Oreochromis niloticus: one gene and its partner. The protein of the gene in region 1 interacts with the protein of each later gene in a pairwise test. Links are inferred from orthologs where the notes say so. Each region holds a gene or a part of one and is shown on either strand. Other genes may lie near its edges.

Region 1 (6,919 bases):
GTGTGCACGTGGCTGCAGGAATAGGAAGACCTTCCCTATATTTGTTACCAGGTATTATGCATAAGTCCTAAGTTGTTGAAAATTGACTTTTTAAAAATAAAAATCAAGCATGAGAAGAGTGATGTTAAATTAATTTGTAACAACTTTGTTTGAATATACTAAACTACAACTAACTTCACTGTCTACTGACGTATTAGTTAGCCACACACACACAGGCTTCAGTTCCAGCCTAAGTAATTGTGCACTGTGCTATAAGGCAGCTGGTTTATCAGCAGTAAAAGGTCAGTGCCTGCAAAAAAGCCCACGTTTCAATCATCATTACGTTATAACTGTTAGCTTCGCTTTTCTTCTTTTACTCTCTCTCTCTCTCTCTCTCTCTGCCACCCAATCATTTGATCTTTACTTTCCTTCCACCCACATTGTGCGATTAGCTTCTTGTGAAGCAGAGTTGTAACCAGTAGCGCCACACTTTCCTGATACCTCTGCATCATTGCAGTCTGCCATGACGTCCCACATTATGTGGCACCCTGGGTGTTAGTTAATGTCTGTGTAGCTAAATGCAAAGGAGAAAATGAGATTTCTGAGAAGATGAGTTTGATTCCAAATGTTTATTCACAAAGCATTTCAAGTCAGTACAATACAAATCAATACTGCATTGCTCTGTCTGCATGTGAAAGAAAACTGAATAGTCCATTAAAAAAAGTGTCAGCTTTACATCAGGATTTGCAAGCAGTTTCTGCTTATTCCAAGAACTTCCTGACAGCTGCACTCATAAAGAAAAGTCCTTTGTTTAGACACTTTCAGACGCCTTCTTCTGGATCTGCACCTGACTTGTTCCCCCTCTGACGAGTCCAGTCCACTTTCTTAAGTCCATCTCTTGCAAAGTATCGCTCTCTGTGACCTTCTCTGCTTAGTCCCACCAGTGTCTGTTAAAGGGCAGTCACTGGGTCACCATTTGCCATCTTTAATGTACTATGCAGTACAGTCCAGCTCCATTCTCAGTGTCCTTCAGGCGTTCTGTCCACTCCACATACACCTGAACAAGTCCACACATGAGCTCTGAACCCTTGCACAGGGTAATCCAGAACCAACGGGCTCACCCAGGATGCACTGGAAGAGTGTGCTCTTGCAGAAGGGGGGAGTTACAGCCACAGCCTCTTAATCCAGACATGTGAGGCAGAAAGGCATGAGGCCCCCCAGCTGAAGCTCAGCTCCTTGACTTTCTTTTCATCATCATCATCATAATCATGTGAAGCAACTGCAGGGGGGTGTCACTTCAGCGCTCTGGGAGAGTGATGGTGGGCACCCAGTCATACACACTGCGCCTTTCCTCACAGAACACACTCAGCTTGTCCAGAGCAGGGTCTTTCCATGGGTTTGCACTAGGGCTCTGTAATTGTTAAAAAAAAGAGGGAGATATTTAGAGTCAGAAAAGTGGCAACACCTACAAGACATGCAAAAAAAAAAGTCAGACACCGTAGTGATGCATGCATGATTCACTAGCTGCCAGCTCCTGACTGAGTGGGAACGTACCGTGACAAGAATGCAGTGTGCGTCCTTGGGCTCGCCTGTTTCATCTGCACCCACGAGGTCGGCCAGGCGGTCGATATCATTGACACGCACCACGTTGATGTCGTTGTCAAAGCAGAACGCCTGGATGAGAGTGAAGTGGATCTGAAGAGCAATGTCACACTCGTATTCCTCGTCGGTGGCGAGAATGCAGAACGCCACGCTGTCTGGGTCACTGTAGGAAAGACAAGAAAGGTGATTAGTGCATATCCTGCTTTGCGTGTGCTCGACTTTTTTTTTCTTTTCTTTTTTTTAAAGGGCAAATGTAACTGAAAGTGGCACGAAATGCAATACTTACACATTCATGACTTTTGCAGATTCGTAAACTCCAACTGTCAGGTAGTCCTGCTTCTTAGCAGCGATCAGCAGCTCCTCCAGGGCTGCGCCTGCACTTTGCACCCTTAACAAAGAAAAATACATCATCAGCACACTGATCACATTACCCTCCCCAAAAATAACAGCTACAGCGCTTTAATCCAGGAGCTTAAATAACGTTGTATCGATGAGTAAAATATTCACCTATCAGCGTTTTCCATTGTGTTCTCTTGTCCGTGAATCTCTTCCAGAGTCATAGTTATAATCCAAGCGCAATCGGGATGTTGCAGTGTTAAGAAAAGGCTGTGTAGCTGTCTGTGTAGTCTCTTGCGTTATTCTGAGCTCTGAACGGTCTGTGGGTGGCTTTATACCGCACTTGGCGTCGTTTCTCGGCAAGGGGCGGTCTTTCCGAGCCTGTCTCCTACCATTGGCTCAGAGGAGCTTATGGTGAGGAAAGCGAAAAAAAGTCCCCGAGCAGTCGAACTGATCTTGTTGACAGCCCCACGTGGGGCAAGATTACAACCTTTCAAGAAATCCCCCCCACCCACTCCCAATTTCTCCTTTTCTTGTCAACATCCAGCATCACCACTAAGGGCAAAAACTACAAGTCCTGTTTACGATGAACTTTCACAGTCATTGCAAACAACACGGTGATATGAAGTTTTTTTGTTTTGTTTTGTTTTGTTTTGAACCACTGTGGCTTCAGTTTGCCCCTGGACAAGCTGACATGTTTATGATAGTCAGAAAACACATAGGTCACAGCGCAGACATTCTAAGAGATTCTCTTTTATTTATTATTATTATCATCGTTTGCAGAGGCGTTATTTACCATTCGATAGCAACATCCCCGGTTTTTGGAATTATGTAACTATTACGCCTCGTGTTTTTCCACAGTGGGCATAGAAGAATTCAGACTATCCTACAGGTGACAACAGAACTGAGTGTGCGGATTAGCCGAGGGAAAATTGGCGGATCTTTTTTCTGTGGGTGAGCCGCATTAAAACAGTAGTGACGATTAATTTGATGTGTGATAAACTCTGGAACAATCCTTTGGCGGACTAGCGGATTTCCCCAGTCTGGAGAGTCACTGGGGAGATATTTATATATATCATCTATCCGAACTTTCCCTGTGCAGCTTTCCATTGCTCTTAATAAACAACCGGTTCCCGGTGCACCTGCTTGGCGCGTCACTGCGGTCAAGTGAGCCCTCACTTACGAAGTCACAGTCAAGCTAGCCGCCCCGCCAGCCGCACCTAAAATGTGGTTGCACTACTCTTACGTATATTACGGTACGGATGAAGCCCGGCTAAGAAACGCAGTCTTTTGTGTCCTGACACTATATTACTTTACAATCCACTCCCAAATTTGGTTCATCTCCACTTTTCACCCCATGATCCACAGCCAAAATTGCTGTACAATTCAGCGAAAATTAACAATAAAATTTAACCAATATACAGTACTGTACTTTTATAGTATCTTCATTTTTGACCTCAGATTACAGGAAAACTGTAAGAGGTGACGCAGATATTTCACTGGATTCTGACTGTGGGTGACCCCCACTCTTCACCCTGTGATCCACAGACAAATTTACTGTACAGTTTTCCTGAAAAGTGATAGTAAACTTTACCCAAATTACTCTACTGTACTCTATATATTCCCATCTTTCACCTCAGATTACAGGAAAACTGTAAGAGGTGACGCAGATATTTCACTGGATTCTGACTCTAGGCCATCTCCACTCTTCACCCTGTGATCCACAGACAAATTTACTGTACGGTTTTCCTGAAAATTGATAGTAAACTTTGCACTATTTACTGTACTGTACTCTATATATTCCCATCTTTGACCTCAGATTACAGGAAACTGTAAGAGGTGACGCAGATATTTCACTGGATTCTGACTCTAGGTGACCCCCATTCTTCACCCTGTCATCCACAGACAAGTTTACTGTACGGTTTTTGAGAAAATTGATAGTAAACTTTGCACATTTTACTCTACTGTACTCTATATATTCAAATCTTTGACCTCAGATTACAGGAAAAGTATAAGAGGTGACACTGATATCTCACTGGATTCTGACTCTAGGCCATCTCCACTCTTCACCCTGTGATCCACAGCCGAATTTACTGTACGGTTTTCCTGAAAATTGATAGTAAACTTTGCACATTTTACTCTACTGTACTCTATATATTCCCATCTTTCACCTCAGATTACAGGAAAACTGTAAGAGGTGACGCAGATATTTCACTGGATTCTGACTCTAGGCCATCTCCACTCTTCACCCTGTGATCCACAGACAAATTTACTGTACGGTTTTCCTGAAAATTGATAGTAAACTTTGCACTATTTACTGTACTGTACTATATATATTCCCATCTTTGACCTCAGATTACAGGAAAACTGTAAGAGGTGACGCAGATATTTCACTGGATTCTGACTCTAGGTGACCCCCATTCTTCACCCTGTCATCCACAGACAAGTTTACTGTACGGTTTTTGAGAAAATTGATAGTAAACTTTGCACATTTTACTCTACTGTACTCTATATATTCAAATCTTTGACCTCAGATTACAGGAAAAGTATAAGAGGTGACACTGATATCTCACTGGATTCTGACTCTAGGCCATCTCCACTCTTCACCCTGTGATCCACAGCCGAATTTACTGTACGGTTTTCCTGAAAATTGATAGTAAACTTTGCACATTTTACTCTACTGTACTCTATATATTCCCATCTTTCACCTCAGATTACAGGAAAACTGTAAGAGGTGACGCAGATATTTCACTGGATTCTGACTCTAGGTCATCTCCACTCTTCACCCTGTGATCCACAGACAAATTTACTGTACGGTTTTCCTGAAAATTGATAGTAAACTTTGCACTATTTACTGTACTGTACTATATATATTCCCATCTTTGACCTCAGATTACAGGAAAACTGTAAGAGGTGACGCAGATATTTCACTGGATTCTGACTCTAGGTGACCCCCACTCTTCACCCTGTCATCCACAGACAAGTTTACTGTACGGTTTTTGAGAAAAGTGATAGTAAACTTTGCACATTTTACTCTACTGTACTCTATATATTCCCATCTTTGACCTCAGATTACAGGAAAACTGTAAGAGGTGACGCAGATATTTCACTGGATTCTGACTCTAGGTGACCCCCACTCTTCACCCTGTCATCCACAGACAAGTTTACTGTACGGTTTTTGAGAAAATTGATAGTAAACTTTGCACATTTTACTCTACTGTACTCTATATATTCAAATCTTTGACCTCAGATTACAGGAAAAGTATAAGAGGTGACACTGATATCTCACTGGATTCTGACTCTAGGCCATCTCCACTCTTCACCCTGTGATCCACAGCCGAATTTACTGTACGGTTTTCCTGAAAATTGATAGTAAACTTTGCACATTTTACTCTACTGTACTCTATATATTCCCATCTTTCACCTCAGATTACAGGAAAACTGTAAGAGGTGACGCAGATATTTCACTGGATTCTGACTCTAGGCCATCTCCACTCTTCACCCTGTGATCCACAGACAAATTTACTGTACGGTTTTCCTGAAAATTGATAGTAAACTTTGCACTATTTACTGTACTGTACTATATATATTCCCATCTTTGACCTCAGATTACAGGAAACTGTAAGAGGTGACGCAGATATTTCACTGGATTCTGACTCTAGGTGACCCCCATTCTTCACCCTGTCATCCACAGACAAGTTTACTGTACGGTTTTTGAGAAAATTGATAGTAAACTTTGCACATTTTACTCTACTGTACTCTATATATTCAAATCTTTGACCTCAGATTACAGGAAAAGTATAAGAGGTGACACTGATATCTCACTGGATTCTGACTCTAGGCCATCTCCACTCTTCACCCTGTGATCCACAGCCGAATTTACTGTACGGTTTTCCTGAAAATTGATAGTAAACTTTGCACATTTTACTCTACTGTACTCTATATATTCCCATCTTTCACCTCAGATTACAGGAAAACTGTAAGAGGTGACGCAGATATTTCACTGGATTCTGACTCTAGGTCATCTCCACTCTTCACCCTGTGATCCACAGACAAATTTACTGTACGGTTTTCCTGAAAATTGATAGTAAACTTTGCACTATTTACTGTACTGTACTATATATATTCCCATCTTTGACCTCAGATTACAGGAAAACTGTAAGAGGTGACGCAGATATTTCACTGGATTCTGACTCTAGGTGACCCCCACTCTTCACCCTGTCATCCACAGACAAGTTTACTGTACGGTTTTTGAGAAAAGTGATAGTAAACTTTGCACATTTTACTCTACTGTACTCTATATATTCCCATCTTTGACCTCAGATTACAGGAAAACTGTAAGAGGTGACGCAGATATTTCACTGGATTCTGACTCTAGGTGACCCCCACTCTTCACCCTGTCATCCACAGACAAGTTTACTGTACGGTTTTTGAGAAAATTGATAGTAAACTTTGCACATTTTACTCTACTGTACTCTATATATTCAAATCTTTGACCTCAGATTACAGGAAAAGTATAAGAGGTGACACTGATATCTCACTGGATTCTGACTCTAGGCCATCTCCACTCTTCACCCTGTGATCCACAGCCGAATTTACTGTACGGTTTTCCTGAAAATTGATAGTAAACTTTGCACATTTTACTCTACTGTACTCTATATATTCCCATCTTTCACCTCAGATTACAGGAAACTGTAAGAGGTGACGCAGATATTTCACTGGATTCTGACTCTAGGCCATCTCCACTCTTCACCCTGTGATCCACAGACAAATTTACTGTACGGTTTTCCTGAAAATTGATAGTAAACTTTGCACTATTTACTGTACTGTACTATATATATTCCCATCTTTGACCTCAGATTACAGGAAACTGTAAGAGGTGACGCAGATATTTCACTGGATTCTGACTCTAGGTGACCCCCATTCTTCACCCTGTCATCCACAGACAAGTTTACTGTACGGTTTTTGAGAAATTGATAGTAAACTTTGCACATTTTACTCT
Region 2 (8,125 bases), on another chromosome or scaffold:
ACCCGATCTTTATCCAGCAGTTGCGAAACTGAAATGCCGGACTTAGAAAAACACAAGCTGCCTTAAACAGGCTTTCACAGGGCTCTCTGGGTCCTCTGGACTCGAGATTGTAGGAACAGATATATCGCATACATCATAAGTTGATCTGAGAGGTAAGACAGGTCCACTCCCTGTTTTTCAGAACAAAACTCAAATAAACTAGCTCACTCCCCCCAGCTGCTGCAAGCCTGAGAAAAGATTTGCAACCTGCTGCAAGCCAGTGCCACCAAGCAATGCTTTTTGTTTCAGCTACCCGAGGTGTTTCCATTAGCTCGTTTGTAACCACTGACTGTATTCTAGCACCCAGTTTATTACCTCTGTAATCCTAAAATCCACAGTAAAAAACCCCAAAACAAAACAAAACCTAACAAATGGCTGAGTCACTGTTGGCATTCTTGTCTGCCTCCCCCTACTTCCCATTCCCCTCCATCTCTTACTCTCTCCCCTCCCTCCTAGCCAATTTTCACAGTCCAGTCCCCTTGGACCTAGTGAACCGTGCGTCTTACTAGGGTCAGCCGCGGGACAGCCGCTGAGCCAGAAAACTCTTTGTACAGAGTGCGCTCATATGGCAGCAAGACCTGTTGCGCTAAGCACACACACAAACACAGGCAGAGGCAGACACATACACACGTGCACACAAGCCCGAAACGCACAGGCAGGCTCATGTGTTGTGCATTTAGCGAGGTGTGTCAACTCTTAACTTTTGTCTGCTTATCTAGAAAATGCACTCGAACCACCATCGTGTGCAGGCCTAAAAAGCACATTAATAAGTTGAGGCAGAATGTTGGCTGTCTCAATGTATGACCCCAACACAGCGAACTTGCATGTAATCACCTCTGACAAGCAGAAAATAAATAAGCTGGAGAAAATATCTATTGTTTGTCAGTGATGTATGTCCTACATTTCAGGGTGCTCCCACTCCTTAAAGACAGACATACTTTTCTTAGGTGGGTCTTCCTATGGGTTTTAACAATGCCCAGCCAAGGCTATGGTCAAAAGCAACAACAGCTACAGTAGGTGTATTTTTGCCTGTGTCTGTTTAACCACTTTGTCTCCTGCACCAGCCTGGTTTCCTTCCATTGTAACAATCACCCGCTCCCACTCGGAGGAACGGGCATGAGGATTTAACTCATGCTGTGAGCTGGAATGCGTCCTCATTAACATCTGATTCATGCAGAGAAATGAGGAAGTGGAAGGACAGGAAACTCATGAGAGTGGGATGTGTGGGCCTGGTGAACGCTGTCACTCTGCCAGAGGTTCCAGCTGTTTAGATTCTGGCTCTAGCGTAGCACTGGGCTTCCCCTAACCTAAGTGTAAGACAAAACCGTATCCACAGCATGACTCATTCTCTGCAGAGAGAAGTTGAAATTTACACCAGTCAGCACTAAATCAAGTATATTACATATAATACAACAGAGAAATTGAGGCGATGCTTTCAAAGGATTTAGCGTGAAGTAGGTCGCCTCACTCCTTAAAACGGTTTCACAATTTTACTCCTTAAAAATCCGATTACCCAATTTCACGTTTACAGTGCAAGGGCGAGCAAGAAGGAATTACTTCCTCATTTTTGGCACTTGCGGCTCGTGAGACCACCCTTAAGTCGCCCATTGTTCCTTTATAATTAACAACACACCATGCACGAGTGTCGTCACACGTCTAAAGCGGCGAGTCATCTTTTGCATTTATGCTGCAACTGCTCGTGCGTGTGTTTGAGTGCGATGCGTAACCGATGTCTTCTAACTTATTACGCAAAAGCTCCCGTAATGTTACAGTGATAGATGAGAATGTGGTTCAGTATAGTTAAAGCAATGTATGTGTCTCCATAGAAGGTCAAAGGATAACTTTATTCTCAGCTTTGTGTACTTTCAGCTTTAAAAAAAAAATCATAAAGTAGAAGACTTAAAACACCAGAGAAAAAAGATTGTGCAGGTCTGCAAAGTCAGTCAAAGCTTAGAACACACTTGGTTTCCTCACACTTGCTTAACAATTGCTGTTAAACACTGGACACATTCCTCGCCTTGTTCATAGTGCAAGACTCTGCAGTGTGTGTGTGTGTGTGTGTGTGTGTGTGTGTGCAGACCTTTGTTAAGTGGAGAGGGTAATTTGTTTAACACTGCAGACTCCAGCCTTTAAAAGGAGCTTACATTTGTAGACTTTCTGTGCCAACTCTGTAAGGTTGAATGATGGGTGAATAATTTCAGTGAGTCTAGCACCTGTGCTAACATGCCCAACAACGTCGGAATTAAAGAATAATCTGACCTCATTCGATTGCACCATTTTTCTCAGCTCCCGCTCCCTCCAAGTACCAAAGACTTCCCTCATGCTGAACTGACTTCTTTTCTTGCCATGCAACCCCCCCCCCCCCACACACACACACACACGCACGCACACACACACACACACACACACGTAAACAAACTTAATATAACAGTATGTCGAAAGTGACAGGATTCAGACAGTCAGCGGCAGCTTTGTTTCACAACATCACTGTAAGCAGACATTCCAACTTATCCAACAAGAATTTGCAGCCCACAAAGAGTCTTCAGAGGCTTCAGAAATTACAATGTTTCACTAACGACTCTAGCAAACACAGCTTTCTCAACAATTCAACATTTCTGCCTTTCTCTGTATTTCAGTGAGCTGGCATGGCCCTCAAGGCATGAAGTAAACATCACCTGATTCCTACAGTGTTCGGATTGAGGGCACGATGCCTTTAGCACCTTTACATCCCCGCAGCTTACACACCTCTCTTTCCCTCAGCATGCCCAAATCCTGTAGCATCAGATGCTTTAATATACCAACATGTTGTTTTCTTTTCAAAACACTTACCTTCACGGGCAGTGGATGACAGTCCCACCATTCTCTAATTGGCTCATTCATACACAAAAGAGATACTGCAGGAGATACTCCAGAGTCAAAGCCACCCTTTGTGCTCTGTCCTCTGAAGTCTGTAGTGGAGGTGAGCTACCATCTGCTGAATTCGCACTCCCTTTACCTCTCCCCTCCTCCATCGGATCTGTTATCTCCCTGCACCTCCCTCTCCGTCTACCCTCCTCTCGCTTCTTTTTTTTTTGTGTGAGTGGGGGGCAGGGTATAGGGTGGTGCTCTGCGTGTGTGCGCATGTGTTTGATCCCCCTTCTTCCACTGTAATCCTAGGGATCGTATAGCACCTGGGAAAGGCTTGCTGTGTAAACACACACACTAATAGCTAACTCTTCTTCTTTTCATTCTTTATTCTTTTGCATTCTTTCCCTCTCTCTTTATATTATTAACTTTTAACTAGTGGCTACACACTAAACAGGTTCCAGTTTAGCTGCCTGTGGAAATCCCCACGTTATAGGGGCATTTTAACATGTCAAGTAAAAGTTGCAGGATTTAGGATATTCTGTGGAGTAGTCATTAGGGCAAGTTGAGACCTTTTCAGTGTCACACGTGGAGGATTTGCTGCCTTGAGGCAGAATCAGGCAGCCAAACACGATGCAACATGCTGCCTTCAATCACAGCGGCAGTAACGTGGCACAAACAGCCCCGAAGCATACGCAGTTCAATACACAACCACAACCACAATATGACACACTAGCTTTTCTAAGTGTAGGCTTTTACTATAAGAAGCCTCTTGCACAAGACTGGACAAGTATCACTATGATGTCAGAAGACTGGGGTTACAGCATAAGCGTGCAAGAAATAAGATCACCTGTTGTTTGGAATCCTAGTGTGACCCCTCATCACCCCTTTGTGATTCTGTTTGGGGAGCTCATTCACTTTTTTGTTCAGACTTAGATGAGAATGGTTTTAAGATCCATCTGTGCTAATCGAGACTAGTTAACTAGTTATTTAACTCATACAAAAATGTGTGTTTTTTTGTCTTTTGGTAGCTAAATAAAAATATACAGTACTGTGCAAAAGTATTGAGATAACCCTCATTTGGTTATATTTGCTAGGATAATTTGATGTAGGTGCTGCCATTTATCAAAAACACAGGTACCACAGGGCATAGCGTGAATGTGAGTGTGAATGTTTGTCTGTCTCTTTGTGTTAGCCCTGTGATAAACTGGTGTCTGTCCCGGGTGTAGCCTGCCTCTCACCCTAGCACAGCTGGGATAGGCTCAGCCGCAACAGGATAAGCTGAATTGGATAAGCAGATAGAAAATGGAAGAATGGACTCCATTAGACCTGCTGCCTCTGATTTTCAGTGCAGTTCTTGTATAATTTAGCATACCTCAGGCTTTTCTCCAAGTTTTCCTTCCTTAAGAATGATTTTATGACAGCCACCATTCTGAGACTTTTCTGCTGAGGCTCAAGCAAACAGTAGATGGATCAACTGAAGGGCCAGATGCATGTCTCAGAAATGCTAATCAGATACTGTTACTCTGTCGCAGATAGTTTTGAGGCCTGTCATTTCTTTTTTGTCCTCCACCTGTGCAGTTTCCTCAGATTTTTTAAGTACAGACTGCACACCATGCTGACATACAACAGGTTTTCAGCTGATAGTTCATTGGGATTTCTTTTGCATATTAAACTGTACATCTTTGGCATTTTCATAGACTGAACCAAAGGAATTGGAACAAATTACATCTGTTTGCAATTAGCTGCTAGTAACAAAGTGCTTATTTGCTTGTTTTAAGTAAAGACAACAATGGTTCATCACTTGAGTTAGGTGTCTTTTTATGCTTAAATGAGTCATAGGTCAGTGTTAAGTGGTGTTTCAAACAAAAACTACTCCTCTAAAAATGGTCCGGTAAAAGGACTGGATTTCTTGTAAGTTAAATATAAAGAAATGATTAGACTTTTGCACAGGATTGTATTTGTGAAGAAAAGCACCGCACTAATGAGCTCCTTCTAAAATCTATTGATAAAAAAGCCAGACCCTTCCTCACTCGTAAATGGTGCTTCCCAGCTTTTCCCAAAATAGTCTCACATACTCATCCTGTTAAGCCTGATATGGCCTAAAAGAAAACGAGTTCTGATGGTGACTAAATCTGAACTTTGACCTCAACAGTAAATATCTGACCCCATACAGAACTGTGGATGTTAGAGGAGGGATGTGAAAGCACACCGAGTTGTAAAATTCACACGACTTTACAGCTGGGTGCGATGGATCTCAGGTTTTTGAAAAGCTAAAGCCTTCGGGGCAGAAATAGTCACAGTAATTGATAAACAAAACCTAGTGTTTATTACAATGAAAACTACCGGTCAAGTCCGCAGTGCAAAACAAAGGAGAACCATAAAGATGTAAGTCATGCCAGACAAAGCAGTTTGAGAAAAAAAAAAGTGACTCTGTGACTCCACAAAAGATCCGTATGTACTGAAAACTGATGGATTATTCTTGGAAGAGCCCCTTTCCTTATTGTCTTTGGAGATGTTGGATACACAACCATTTCTCCACCCGATCTGACATGAAAGCACACTGCAGGTTCACTGTGTAGGTGTCTTTCTTCCTCGGCTGAACAATACAACCCAGCAAGTTTTGGAGGGAGACGAAAAGCACATTTTTTGTGAGCAAAAGCATAATCTTATCTCATGTTAAGTGAGTCAAATGATAGGGTTTTCAGTACAGAGACAGTGGTGTTTGAGTGTTATCATCATGCCGTGTGAGTGTTACCTAAACACCTCCATCCAACTCAGTCATCAAAGCTGAGGCAGGCATGTTTGAAAAAAAAGAGCTGATTCATAATGTTAAGAAGCACAGATCAGAAAGGAGATACTTTTATCTCACTGTTCACCACAGGATTTATCACACCACTGTATAGTGCTGTATAGATCCGTGTAACAAAGGAAGAGGTAAACCAGACAGCCAGATGTTCTCCCAGTTTTTAATTGCATTAGGAGGTGTGCCAACAATGCCTTCTCTCACCAGGCTGTGCCCTATCATGATGAAATTCCCTCCCACCCTACCCTTCGAATTCCTGGCATTTCCCAAGAGTGACAGCTCCTCTCTCCTCTTGCCAGTAGAAACGTGTCTGGGCATTCGCAAAGTGATATCTCTGGAGAACACACAGGTACACAGGGACAGATCCGGTTCATGGCGCAAATCATCTTGATGGCTGGTACCAATCTTTCTGCTACTTTTTACTGCGTCATTTGTGATGGAGGAAGAGATATACAAGAAATGCTGTTTTATTTAACGTTCATTTAACTTTCACAGTACATAAAGTTGCTATATTTGACATCTCACAGAAATACTGTGTATAAAATGGCTTGCTTGCAGTCACAAATAGAAATATAGCTGCAGGCAGCAATGAGGGGGCCAAGCAATATAGCTGGCACAGTCACCATGGCAACTTGAGCTGACCATGTTAAAAGCACTGGCAGGAAAAATGAGTTGTTGCTTAATGCCCTGAGTGGGAACATTATGGAACTTGACAACCTCAAGAAGAAGTACAAAGTTCATACACCAAGGCTTTATTCAGATATGGAAATGTATTTATTTATTTATGTTTGATTGGAAAAGCTGGTGCATTTCCAGGTGTTCTATCTACGGTACAGTTTTAATACAATAGGGTTCATGTTAGTATCACTGCTGATTGTGAAACAGACATCACCATCAAACAAGAGAGAGCATAGCTTTAGGCCAGTTGCTAAACATGCCATAATGTTGTATGCTATTTCCAGACTGAACGTGACCCATATCTGACCTATATCATGAGCTTTGAAGTTAACTTGCTACAGGGAATATAACAGTACCTCATTAGGTGGTGGTATAAAGGTTACTCTAGCTTCAACTGAGTGATGGTGCTATAGTGCACGAGATGGAGACATGAAACTCGGTGAAACTCAGTGAAGCGCCTGTCCCCAATCAGGGTGCCCCATTCATGCTCTTTAGCAGTAGCTGCTAGGAGCTACAACAGTGTTACTTTTATTTTCTCACTCTGGTTGGCTAAGTTTAGGCAACAAAATGATTTAGTGTGGTTTACCACACAGGCGCACCTGTGCACAGTTTACAAGCACTTTTTCACACATCTTCTTGGGGCCTCTTGCACAAACAACATTCAATGTTATATCATGGGAGAACATAGTAGTCATCCAACTGTGCAGTGTCCTTAAGTTTTGTGGAGCATTTTAGCATGATTTAGTCTGTTGTGTTGGTTTTGAATTAGCAAACAAACTGCATATCATTGGGGGAGCTTTAGTTCTTCTTTTGGCTTCTTCCTATAAGACTGCTATAGCAGATCATCGGTTTCCATCTAACCCTATCCTTGGCATCCGCTTCTCTCACACCAAGCCTCTGAATGTCCCCCTTGATTACTTCCATGAGCGTTTTCTCTTGTCTTCCTTCTTCTTCTAACCAGATTCTTACTCTGGATGGCATTACCTTGGTCTCCAGTAATGCTGTGAGGAACCTTGGAGTCATTTTTGACCAGGACATGTCCTTCAACGCACATATTAAACAAATATGTAAGACTGCTTTCTTCCATTTGCGCAACATCTCTAAAATTAGAAATATCCTGTCTCAGAGTGATGCTGAAAAACTAGTTCATGCATTTATTACTTCCAGGCTGGACTACTGTAATTCACTATTATCAGGATGTCCTAAAAACTCGCTGAAAAGCCTTCAGTTAATCCAAAATGCTGCAGCAAGAGTACTGACAGGGACTAGAAAGAGAGAGCATATTTCTCCTGTTTTGGCTTCCCTTCATTGGCTTCCTGTTAAATCCAGAATTGAATTCAAAATCCTGCTCCTCACATACAAGGTCTTAAATAATCAGGCCCCATCTTATCTTAATGACCTTGTAGTACCATATCACCCTATTAGAGCACTTCGCTCTCACACTGCAGGCTTACTTGTTGTTCCTAGAGTATTTAAAAGTAGAATGGGAGGCAGAGCCTTCAGTTTTCAGGCCCCTCTTCTGTGGAACCAACTTCCAGTTTGGATTCGGGAGACAGACACTATCTCTACTTTCAAGATTAGGCTTAAAACTTTCCTTTTTGCTAAAGCATATAGTTAGGGCTGGACCAGGTGACCCTGAATCCTCCCTTAGTTATGCTGCAATAGACGTAGGCTGCCGGGGATTCCCATGATGCATTGAGTTTTTCCCTTCCAGTCACCTTTCTCACTCACTATGTGCTAATAGACCTCTCTGCATCG

The links. The genes of interacting proteins can lie anywhere in the genome.
Region 2: the proteins of gadd45ga (region 1) and afap1l1a interact in binary tests that used the Homo sapiens proteins (3 or more experiments, as listed by UniProt). The two-hybrid records come from large-scale screens. The link is inferred for Oreochromis niloticus from reciprocal best matches to the Homo sapiens genes GADD45G and AFAP1L1.

What each region holds. Positions count from the first base shown.
Region 1 is NC_031977.2:23,400,773-23,407,691, reverse strand, and holds gadd45ga (growth arrest and DNA-damage-inducible, gamma a), read right to left. Parts: upstream 2,250-6,919; 5' UTR 2,142-2,249; coding exon 2,089-2,141; intron 1,970-2,088; coding exon 1,868-1,969; intron 1,745-1,867; coding exon 1,534-1,744; intron 1,391-1,533; coding exon 1,277-1,390; 3' UTR 711-1,276; downstream 1-710. UniProt on the Homo sapiens protein: Involved in the regulation of growth and apoptosis. Mediates activation of stress-responsive MTK1/MEKK4 MAPKKK.
Region 2 is NC_031966.2:30,008,984-30,017,108, reverse strand, and holds the start of afap1l1a (actin filament-associated protein 1-like 1), read right to left. Parts: upstream 3,064-8,125; 5' UTR 2,900-3,063; coding exon 2,869-2,899; intron 1-2,868. UniProt on the Homo sapiens protein: May be involved in podosome and invadosome formation.